Linked DNA regions of Rattus norvegicus. The protein of the gene in region 1 interacts with the protein of each later gene in a biochemical or structural test. Links are inferred from orthologs where the notes say so. Each region holds a gene or a part of one and is shown in the gene's direction. Other genes may lie near its edges.

Region 1 (4,129 bases):
ATGAACCACATTTAGGCCTGGTGCAGTGCTGAAAAACATATCAGATTCTCTGGGACTAGAGTTATAGGCATTTTTGAATGCATATACGGGTGCTGGGAATCAAACCTGAGTCCTCTGGAAGAGTAGCCAATGCTCTTTGATTGCTGGGCCACTTATAATCGGCTCATTACTAATTACAGAAAAGATTATTTTATTAATGTCTTGTACTGTGAAGGTTTTTGACTTACTTTAGTTTTCATTTTTCCCCCCTTTACTTAGTATAACCTTAATCTTCCCTGAATGTTTGTGCAAGAGGGTCACTGTATTCAAAGGAAGATGTTTAGGTCTATGATGTAAGGCAACTAGTTTATGAGCTGGAGGGAGCTCTTGCAACTTCAACTTTCAATAGCATTTTGGTCATCTATAGCCACCAAGACTTTGTTCTAGAGCTGGAGATGTGGTGGCCCAGGTCTTTAATCTCAGCACTGGGGAGGCAGAGGCAAGAGGAGGCCAGTCTGGTTGACTTAGCAATGTTCTATAATAGCCAGAGCTACTTAGTGAGACCCTGCCTCAAAACACAAAACAAAACCAAAGATGTGACCGGAAGGGTTGTTTCTTCATGCCCCACCCCTAGACTCCCACAGGGTTCTTCCATGTAGCCTTGGCTGTCCCGGAACTCACTTTGTAGACCAAGATGGCCTCAAACTCACAGAGATCTGCTTGCCTCTATCACTCGGAGTACGCCACCATAACTCAGCTCGTTGTGGTTAACTTCATTCACTCTGACATGCTAGTGGCTTCCAAATCGCTTTCACTTTCTCTCTTGTAGAAAATGAAAACTTGTTACTATTGTATTTCTAGTAATCAAAGTCATGAATGTGGCAGCAGCAAGCAAGAGGGGGCCATAAAGATATTATACAGGGAATTCACTATATTCAGGAAGAGTTGGTTCCGGCCTCAGAAGCGTACAAGATGTCCAACAGGGAGGAGCCTAAGCGGTCAGTTTGACCCCAAACACACACAGCCTGCAGGCAAAGCGCTGGTCTCCCTAAGGCCTGAGGCAGCGGGCCGGTTTTCCCGGCCCCGCTGAAGACCTAGCGGTTCTCTTGCTCCAGGAAAGTAGCTTAACCTTGACGATTTCATCTCCCGCATTCCCTAAGGCGTTTTCCCGCTTCCCTTTCCCGTCTTCCCAAACTCTCCTCTGCGCGCTGCGGAAGTGACGCAAGACGTAGCGGAAGTCCCTGCAGCCGCGGTGTTGTGCTGTGGAGAAGAGACGGATTTGTAAACCTCAGAGTGCGGTTCTGCCTGCCGGAGGCCGCTGTGGTGCGGAGACCCCCGGGTGAATCCACCGACACCATGTCTGACCAGGTACCGGGCCACGGCCTTGGGGCTCAGGGCCGTCGGCTGCTGGCTGAGCCCCTGGAATGGGGCGCGGGGGGAGGGGGTGATGTTGGGGGAGGGGGCTGCCGGTGGGGAGGGGGCCGCGAGGGACGCCGAGCGCCTGGCAGAGTCGGGCCGAGCCGCCTGGGATCGAGGGTCTCCGGGTTTTACGCACCCTCCGCGGCCCTTTCGGAGGCCTCTACCCCCACGCCATCCAGCGCCGGGTCTCTTTCGACTGCTCCCAGGTTTCTCTCGGGCTCGCTGGGGGCCCAGGCCCGCTCCCTTGTCCGTGAGAGCAACCTGGGGGAAAACGACCGTTTCCCTTTCAGAGGACCGATGGCAGAAACAAGGCCCTAGGCCCAGTTATGTAACGGGAGAGAATCCCTGCCTGGGAGGCTAGGTGGCCCTGAAAAGCAGCTCGATTCTACTTTGGGTTCTTGGTCCCGGAGAGTGGGGGGCGGGCAGGGATCCTTGTTTGGGGTGACTGGGAACCCAGGAGACGCTGCTTTTCAGTTGTGTTTGCCTGGAGGGTCAGTCCGTCTTTGCCCACTTCAGAGTCATTTTTCCATCCGGGGGTGCGGAGCGGTCGACTCTTTCTCTGTACTTTCCATTTCTTACTCGGGATTGGTCCATCAACTCTCCAGTTGTAGGAGCGCTCAGAATAACCGAGAAACAACAAACTGCGTAGAGTGCCACCACCAACATGCCATCCATACGGTTTTTGTCTGGCTTTCCTTTTGTTTGGTCAGATGACTTAATTTTCAGAGTATTTTTTTTTTTTTTAATTTTTACTTCTTTAGTTACAATTCAGCAAACTTTTTTCATTCTACTTTACATTGTAGTTGAGCTTTTTTAAAATTTTTTTTGTTGGTTTTTTTTTTTTTTTTTTTTTTGAGACGTTGGTTTTCTGTGTAGCCTGGTTGTCCTGGAACTCCCTCTGTAGACGAGGCTGGCCTCCAGTTTATAGAGATCCGCCTGTCTGTTTCCTGAGGATGAAAGGCTTGCAACCACCCCAGACTGGCCATAGTGGTTCTATTTTTATAGCCTATCTACACTGTAAATTAGTTGTGGGATGGATTTACTTATTAATAATCTGGATTATTAATCTTTTGGGCTAGAAATGACTTTATGAAGCCCATAATTTGTTTATGACAGTTGTTTACTTAGTTACCAGAGAGGAGAGATCAGCTGTGTAAACGCTTATGCTTCATCAGACTTCTATTTTTAAAGCATGTTAGCCAGATGAGAGGGCAACATACAGAAAGAGTTTTAAGTTTTAGGATTAGTTTTGCTCTAGTTTGAACTTACATTATGTGAGGATATGAAGAAAGAAAAGAGGACCCTAGGACACAAGGTTTCAGGGAGTCTGCAAAGTCACTCTATGCTTGCTTAGGACTCTCTCACCTCACTTGGGGTCTTTGGGTGCTGGACCTAGGGCCTCCCACATGTGCTTGCCAGGCAGGCACTAAACCCTCATTTCTCCTTTTACTTCATTTCATTAAGTTGTCTAGGTTGGACTGTAACACACTTGTCTTTGAACTTGGACTCCCTCAGCCTTGCAGAGTAGCTGGGATTACAGAGTTATGCTGCCACACTTGGTGTGTGTGTGTGTGTGTGTGTGTGTGTGTGTGTTTCTCATTCTATCATGGATGTTCAATGAAAATTTTAGAAACATGACAAAAAAGTAGAACAAATCTTTTTTTTTGAGGCAGGGTCTTAACTATGTAGCTTTTCCTGGCCTGGAACTCAGTTTCTCCTGTGTCTGTTTCCTGAGTGCTGGGATTAAAGATGTCTACCACCACAGTTGGCAAAACAAGTCTTTTTTTTTAAATTGAGCTACACATTAAAGCAATTTGCATAGGAAATAGTGCTGCTACTCTTAAAATTTTTGTCTTTAAAAAAAGTAATAAAAATGTATCTAACATTTTAGGGGTTTATTTAGTTCAAGTCAAGGGTTTCTCTGTGTAGCCTTAGTTGTCCTGGAACTTGCTATGTAGATCAGATTGGCCTCAGATTTTCCTTGCCTTGCCTCTGCCTCCCAGAGTGTATACCACCACGACAGCTGGGTTGATAGGTTTTTAAATCATTGAGAGTGTGATAATGGATTTGGGAGCTGTTGCTTTAGGCTGATGGATAACATTAATCTTAGTTCCCAGAACAAGTTCAGTATTGAGTGTTAAAGATTTGGAGAAAACGGTTAAGTGAATCCTTGCCTGTAAGAGGTTTATAAGTGAGAGTAGGAATCCCCAAGTACTGTGTGTAATAGCAACAGCCTGAGACTGAGCTGTCTTCAGAAGGTGGCCTTAGAGGGTACTTTTTCAAGTTGGGGGGTTCGATAATGTGCTTGACTTGAATACAAGATGCCCTCCAGTACCCATGCACATTTTATTTTCTGAGGCAACTCTTAGAAGCTTGTATCTTGTGCTTAAAATAGTCACATTGAGTAATAGTTTCAGCTTTTCTCTTTGTTTTGAGATGCTCTCACTGTGTATCTAGGCTGGCAGTGATCCTTCTGTTTTTACTTTCCTGAGTCCTGGGATTACAGGTGTATGTGTATGCCACTGTGTCTTGCCATAATTTCAGTTTAAAATGAGTGGATCTTTATATCTAAAATAGATCACAATCTAATGCCTAAACCTTGAGAATTCACTGAATTATGCAGTTTTTTTAAAAAGAAGGTACTATAGGTCCCATCATTGGTACATGATTTCCCAAAGAATGAGGATCATTCTATAACCATTAATAGAAATTTGTTTAGCCTAATTTCACA
Region 2 (2,983 bases), on another chromosome or scaffold:
GGTTTGCCCCCCACCAGGGTATGGGCTGGATGGTGAGTGACCCTCTGCTCTCCCATTGCACTCAGTCATGGGTGGCCCTTTTTCTGAGACAGCCTTCTGAACCACCCATAGGTCTCCAGTATAGCCCAGTCCAGGAGGGAAATCAGTCAGAGAATAAGAAGAGGGTTGAAGTCATTGACTTGACAATCGAAAGCTCATCAGATGAGGAAGATCTGCCCCCCACCAAGAAGCACTGCCCTGTTACCTCGGCTGCCATTCCAGCCCTTCCTGGAAGCAAAGGGTATGAGAAAAGGCTGCTTCTGTATCGGAGGGGGCAGATGTCAGAACTGCCTTTTGGCCACCGGGCAAGCTATGGGATGGGGAAGGGCAGGGACGATGGGACCTTGGGCAGCCGTGTTTGGCTGGTTTCTCCAGCTCTTTCTCCCCACTACAGAGCCCTGACCTCTGGTCACCAGCCGTCTTCGGTGCTGCGGAGCCCTGCAATGGGTACACTGGGCAGTGATTTCCTGTCTAGTCTCCCACTACATGAGTACCCACCTGCCTTCCCGCTGGGGGCTGACATCCAAGGTAGAACGCTGACCCTAAGGTGGAGGGGAGGGTCCTGCCCTCGTACCCTGTCCAGACCTGTTTCTTTGCAGAGCCCTAGGGACAGGGGGAATTTTTTTTTTTTTTTTCTTGTGGTGAAGGAGTCAGAAGGGGGTTGATTTTGATTTTTCTTTTCCTACCAGGTTTAGATTTATTTTCTTTCCTTCAGACTGAGAGTCAGGTAAGTGGTCATGTCTAGGAAGATGCAAGATCTCAGGAGAGTCCTTTTTGTAGACACTGATGATATGTTCTTCCCCTGCCCGGTTTCCTTAGGGATTTCACAGTGTCTTTCTGCGAGGGGAGAACATGGCACCTGTCTTCCTTACCCCTCGCCCCCATCACTTCATATTCACACCTGTGCCTTCCTAGCACCTCTCTTCCTGCTCACTCACCCCCGCATGCACTAGAACCTTCCCCAGTGGATGTTCCACACATTTCAGACACCCACAAGGCCCTGGATGTCAAAGGGGCTGTCCCAAGGCAAGGCACAGGAGAAGGGTCTTGGGGGAGTAAGGAAGAGTCAGGTCCTCAGCTTCTCTTCTCAAGAACATCATGGTCATGAGATCCGTGAGGGTTGGAACCCCGTGAAGTGGTTTTGAGGTGGGTGAGGTGCTGAGTCAAGATGACACGTCAAGCTGTCTCCTTTGTCCCTCCAGCACTACAGCCCTTCAGTTATCACTTCACTAGATGAGCAGGACACCCTTGGCCACTTCTTCCAATTCCGGGGAACCCCTCCCCACTTCCTGGGCCCACTGGCCCCCACATTGGGGAGCTCTCACCGCAGCGCCACTCCAGCACCCGCTCCTGGCCGTGTCAGCAGCATTGTGGCTCCTGGGAGTTCCTTGAGGGAAGGGCATGGAGGACCCCTGCCTTCCGGTCCCTCTTTGACTGGCTGTCGGTCAGACGTCATTTCCTTGGACTGAGTTATTTGGATTGCAAAATCAATTTCTACTGGCCCTAGCACTGAGCAGATACATTGTGGGTTCCCAACCCCTGGCTGCTCTGATCCCTCAGGGGTCATTGGTCAAAGGCCAGGCCAGATCTTCATGGACACCTGCTTTTGGCCTTATCACTGCCTAACAAGGCCAGTACTCAAAGGGTTAACATTTAACCTTTTGAAAAAGGACATTGGGGTCTGTTTTTGGAAGTGTTCTTTGATGTAGCACATTCCTTTGGGTAGGGTAACCTAGGCAGTGGGAGGCAGATGGAAGGGTAGGGGTTCCTCACCCTTCACCAGATCTTCAGCCTCTTGGGGAAAGGGCAGTTTCCTGCCCCCTCCCCCAGGACTCCTTTCCGTACCCAAACCCAAACATCTGTTCTTTTTCGTCCATTCCCTTCTCTTTGGCCATACTGTCAGGTGGCAGGTCAGAGATGGACAGACAACTCTATTTTGGGTTGCAGATTTCTTTTTTGTACATAAATAAGAAAACTCCAAATTATCCAAAGATGACTTCCCTTGCCTTTTACTTCCCAGTGTGACTCGAGGAGGAAACAAGGCCTTAGTTGTGATCCCCAGGGGCTCGGGAACAGGGCGTGGCCTGCCTACTGCCTGGGTCTCTCTATTTATATATTTAAGTTCACAATGTTTTTATGCTAAACAGTCAAGGGCCTAAGCTTCTAGTGACCTGTGCTCAGGCCTAGATTGTTCTTGCACCTTTTATGGGACATGGGGGCTCTGTTCTCCTTCCCAATACTCAGGCCCCTTCAGGGCCAAAGCCCTGTGATGTGATTTCACTTTTTATCCCCAGAGCTGTAGCAGAGTTCTCGCCTACAATAAAGGTTGTGAATGTTCTGTGAGCGTCATGGAGGGGAGAGATGTTGTACCTTGTTTTCCAGACCCATGGTTTGTGGGGCAGAGGGTCCATGTTCTATCCTTTCACTTAAAAAAAAAAAAGAACACTTAAAATGTTTATTACTGTGCATGCGGGCATGCGCGCCATGGGTGCATGTGAAAGTCAGAGGACAACTTTATGGAGTAGGACCTTTCCTTCCATCTTGAAAGAGATCGATCCCAGCTACTGGACTCAGGTCTCAGGTTGCCAGACCACCTCACCGGCTGCCTGCCTTCATTTGCTGGTCTGGGGTCCATGTGAGCTTCATTTTTACCTGGGAGGGAGTGGAGGCATTTACACAAGCATAGCCAAGAGCAGTTGCTCTCCCTTTGTCTCTTTGACGTCCCTAAGAACACCAGGCCATCCCGCACCGAGGCTGTGCTACCCACAAGTTGTTCCTTACCTTCATCTGCCCAGATGTTGCAGCCAGAGCTTGAGGGCAAACTTGGTTCCAGTGCTGACCCTTTCTTTGTCCTCTTCTGCTGTGGCTGGGGTTACTCGCATGAGCGTGGACACGGGCAGGACCAGAGGCTGGGTTCCTCCATCGTCCTTCAGTTCAGTTGTGC
Region 3 (3,650 bases), on another chromosome or scaffold:
GCTCCGAAAAAAAAAAGAAAACAATTTAGAAAGATCACAGAATACTCTTCTGTGAAGAATATACCCATTTCAACCATTTAATCTCCTAGGATTCTCAGAACTCTTTTCATCCAAGGATCTCATCAGTAGAATGCTGGAATCCGCTAGGAGGTGATGATTTCTAAAAGCCATTTGTGGTTAATGTTATCCTTAGTTGTATTTATTTTGCAGTAGTTTTAACAAATGAAGAGTTTTAAGGACATTGCAGATTAAAATATATCTCATTTCAACATCTCAGAAATATTTACATGATTTGTTTTCCTGTGTGTTGTCAAGACTTCTGCATCGTGAATTAATTCTCTGCAGCCTTTCATTTGAGTGATGCCTCAGATGGCTGGCTAGACCTTTTCTGACCCCTTCTTCAGTTCTTTGAAATACTGAGCTTATTACTGTCTCCTAAGAGTGTGCAAAAGCTGTTCCAGTAATAGCAAGAAACACCACCTCTCCTTTCACTGTGTAAGGTTATCAGGTGCAATTAATGGTAAATTGAGCCCACATAGCCATAACTTTTCTTTTTTTAAGTTCAAATGGTGAAGCTTGAAATGGAAATTGAAGTAAACTTGGTTCAATTTTTTAATTGATTCCCACCCCCAATTTAAAGGCATGTGGTTTGTTCCCCCTCCATATATTTTTACTATGATAGTAAGTCCTCTTCATTTTAAAGATCCAAACTAGGAGCCTTAACTTGATAGCTGCTGTCTTTTGAGTGCATATTTGTCAGTTACTGCTTTAATGGTTGCTATTGTTTGCTTTGCCTTTTTTGAGACAGACAGGTTTATGTTGTCATTTAACTTTTTCTTTGCTCCTTCAAGCAAGAGATTTTACTTTATGTAAATTGTGAGTGACAATACATAGAAATACAATAATACGTCTGTGCTACACTCATACTCACATTAAGGACAAAAGTTACCATCTTTGAAATTTGTGGTAATTATTGAATTGTTTTTGTTTGTGGCTTAGAGAATGGAAGTGAATTAAAAGGGAAGTTATTACTCTTTAAAATTTCATGTTGTTCTCTCCTCCCTACCCGTTTTATAACAAAAACATTTGCCTATGTGATGACCACTAGCTCTTGTTAATTGACAGAATCCAAAATCACCTGGGAATGGGCCTCTAGACATGCCTGTGGGGAGTATCTTGATTTTGTTAATCAATGTGGGACGACCTGCCCACTGTGGGCAATACCATTCCCTGGCTGTTAATAGTAACTGTGAGTTCTGGGATTTATAAATGGAGAAAAAGGGTTGAATAGCATGAATGCATTCCTTGCTCTGTTTTCAGTTTTGAATGAGATGTGGTCAGCTGCTTTAAGCTCCTCTCTATGTTACTTCCCCACCATAATGAATTTTACCCTTGAATTTTGAGCCAATACAGTCCCCTTCCCCTTATGTTCCACTATGCCTGGAAGTTCTTTTTTTCTAGTTATTTTATACTTTTCCTGGATGTTTTAGTGAGTAGGGAGAAGATGCCATTGTTGTCCTATTTACAGACTTTGTTAATATCCAAAAAGAAAACAGCTATATCAAACTAGCTTCAAACTTAGATCCTCCTGTCTCAGCCTCCCAATTGCTGCTGTTTCAGTTGCTGGCCATTATGCTCAGCAATTTGTTCCCAAACTCTGGGTTACATCTCTGTATACCTCTGCAGAGTGCAAGAATTTGGACATTGATTTGAATGATTTACCACAGCACATGCCACCTCCATTCCTTCTGCCTGCTTTTCTTGTTCATTCCTTCACTGTCCAAATAGTTAATAACAAACGGTACTAGATACAGAAGATAAAATGGTCATAGACTGTCCTAGTTCTAGAACAGTCATCAGCCCTAGTTCTAGAATAGTCATCAGCCCTGGAGACCCTCTGTCCAGGCAAGGAGTCGCCATATGGATAGAAATGACAGTGCAGCAGGATAATTGTGGAGATAAATACCCAAGAAATGGCTAGAAGAGATAGACAGTAAAACAGTTCCACTCGGCTAGGACAGGCTGGTGAAGCTGGTCCTGAAGGTGGGAACAGTGGAAGGACTTTATCTTTGACTGATCATCTATATTGCACTAGAGAACGTCATTCATTGCTCACTTTTGGGGGCTATTCTGCTACCTTAGTGCAGTGGTTCTCAATCTGTGGGTTGTGACCCTTTTGGGAGGGAAGGTGGAGTCAAAGGAATCTTGAAATGAATCTTGCATAAGGGTTACTTAAGACCATTGGAAAATACAAGATATTTACATTACAGTTCATAACATTAGCAAAAGTATAGTTATGAAGTAGCAATGAAAGTGATTTTATGGTGGGGAAGGCTCACTACAACATGAGGAGCTCTGTTAAAGGGTCACAACTAGTGAGAACCATTGGTCTAATGTGTTGGCCAAGAAAGAGGGTATTGGGGCTGGGGATTTAGCTCAGTGGTTAGAGCGCTTACCTAGGAAGCGCAAGGCCCTGGGTTCGGTCCCCAGCTCCGAAAAAAAGAACCAAAAAAAAAAAAAAAAAAAAGAAAAGAAAGAGGGTATTTATAATGAGCGGTACAGGAAGGTAGGGAGGCAACACAGCCACTGTGTATGCTGGTGTTTGATATGGGGCCAGAGAATCCAACAGTTAAGGAATAGAGGATTTAATGAATATAAGCTTGCAGGTGTGTGTCTTTCCTGGCATTTCCTGTCAGAGACAGGGCTTCCATAAGTAGCAGTGTGGTCTTTGGTTCCCCTTTCTGTTGCTTTAAATGGCGAGATTGTGATCAGATCTCCATGTTCTTAGAAGGTGGGGGGAAGTAGCGAACAGTGATAAGTAAATTGAGACCACAGATTAATGAAGGTAAGAAGATTTCTGTTGTGTGGCTTCACTTAGTATGGTTGTACAGATGGAATTCCTGATGGCTTAAATGAGAAGTGCAAGCTTTAGCATCTGATGAGACTGCCAGCTAGCTGTATAGAAGCAAAGACTAAGAGGTAAGCAAGCACAGGAAGATAGCGACTGTTCCTTGAATTCTAGAGTTAGTATAGAGCAGTATTGATAATGTGAATACCTAGTTTTGAAGTGGAGATCTGGCTTTAATATACTTAACAGGTTTTTCCCCAAGAAAGTGGGAAGACTCCTGAGGGCACGTTACTACTTATTGCAGTCCGCAGTCTGTGCTTCTGGAGAATTATGAAGTGCTTGTTGATACTGCTAAACAGTAGGATAAAGCGCGATGTGGTCCTGCATAGTATAAACTGGATCCTGGCTCTCATAATCAATCTCACATGGAAATCCCTAAACTTATATCTAGTACTTTTAAAGTTTCTTTGCTATTAATTAGTTAAACTTTGTTTAAATAGAATGGTAAAATGGATGGCATTTAAGCAAACCATATGAAGAGGCTAAATACAAACTTTAAAATTGTAAATTATGGTTTCAGATACTAATATTTTACATTTTACTTTTTTCCCTAAGCAAATGGTTATGAGCCTTAGAGTTTCTGAACTCCAAGTACTGTTGGGCTACGCTGGGAGAAACAAGCACGGACGCAAACACGAACTTCTTACAAAAGCCCTGCATTTGTTAAAGGCTGGCTGTAGTCCTGCTGTACAAATGAAAATTAAAGAACTCTACAGGCGGCGGTTCCCTCAGAAAATTATGA

What was found.
Region 2: the proteins of Sumo1 (region 1) and Pias3 form a complex in vitro, tested with the Homo sapiens proteins (2 studies listed by BioGRID and IntAct, with this or other methods). The link is inferred for Rattus norvegicus from reciprocal best matches to the Homo sapiens genes SUMO1 and PIAS3.
Region 3: the proteins of Sumo1 (region 1) and Pias1 form a complex in vitro, tested with the Homo sapiens proteins (6 studies listed by BioGRID and IntAct, with this or other methods). The link is inferred for Rattus norvegicus from reciprocal best matches to the Homo sapiens genes SUMO1 and PIAS1.

Annotation. Positions count from the first base shown.
Region 1 is NC_086027.1:68,599,969-68,604,097, reverse strand, and holds the start of Sumo1 (small ubiquitin-related modifier 1), read left to right. Parts: upstream 1-1,294; 5' UTR 1,295-1,335; coding exon 1,336-1,347; intron 1,348-4,129. UniProt on the Homo sapiens protein: Ubiquitin-like protein that can be covalently attached to proteins as a monomer or a lysine-linked polymer.
Region 2 is NC_086020.1:186,927,825-186,930,807, forward strand, and holds the end of Pias3 (E3 SUMO-protein ligase PIAS3), read left to right. Parts: coding exon 1-32; intron 33-111; coding exon 112-280; intron 281-433; coding exon 434-567; intron 568-728; coding exon 729-766; intron 767-1,241; coding exon 1,242-1,508; 3' UTR 1,509-2,468; downstream 2,469-2,983. Other genes in the region: Nudt17 (nucleoside diphosphate-linked moiety X motif 17), read right to left, coding at 2,823-2,982. UniProt on the Homo sapiens protein: Functions as an E3-type small ubiquitin-like modifier (SUMO) ligase, stabilizing the interaction between UBE2I and the substrate, and as a SUMO-tethering factor.
Region 3 is NC_086026.1:72,306,797-72,310,446, reverse strand, and holds part of Pias1 (E3 SUMO-protein ligase PIAS1), read left to right. Parts: intron 1-809; exon of another isoform or gene 810-2,043; intron 2,044-3,463; coding exon 3,464-3,650. UniProt on the Homo sapiens protein: Functions as an E3-type small ubiquitin-like modifier (SUMO) ligase, stabilizing the interaction between UBE2I and the substrate, and as a SUMO-tethering factor. Catalyzes sumoylation of various proteins, such as CEBPB, MRE11, MTA1, PTK2 and PML.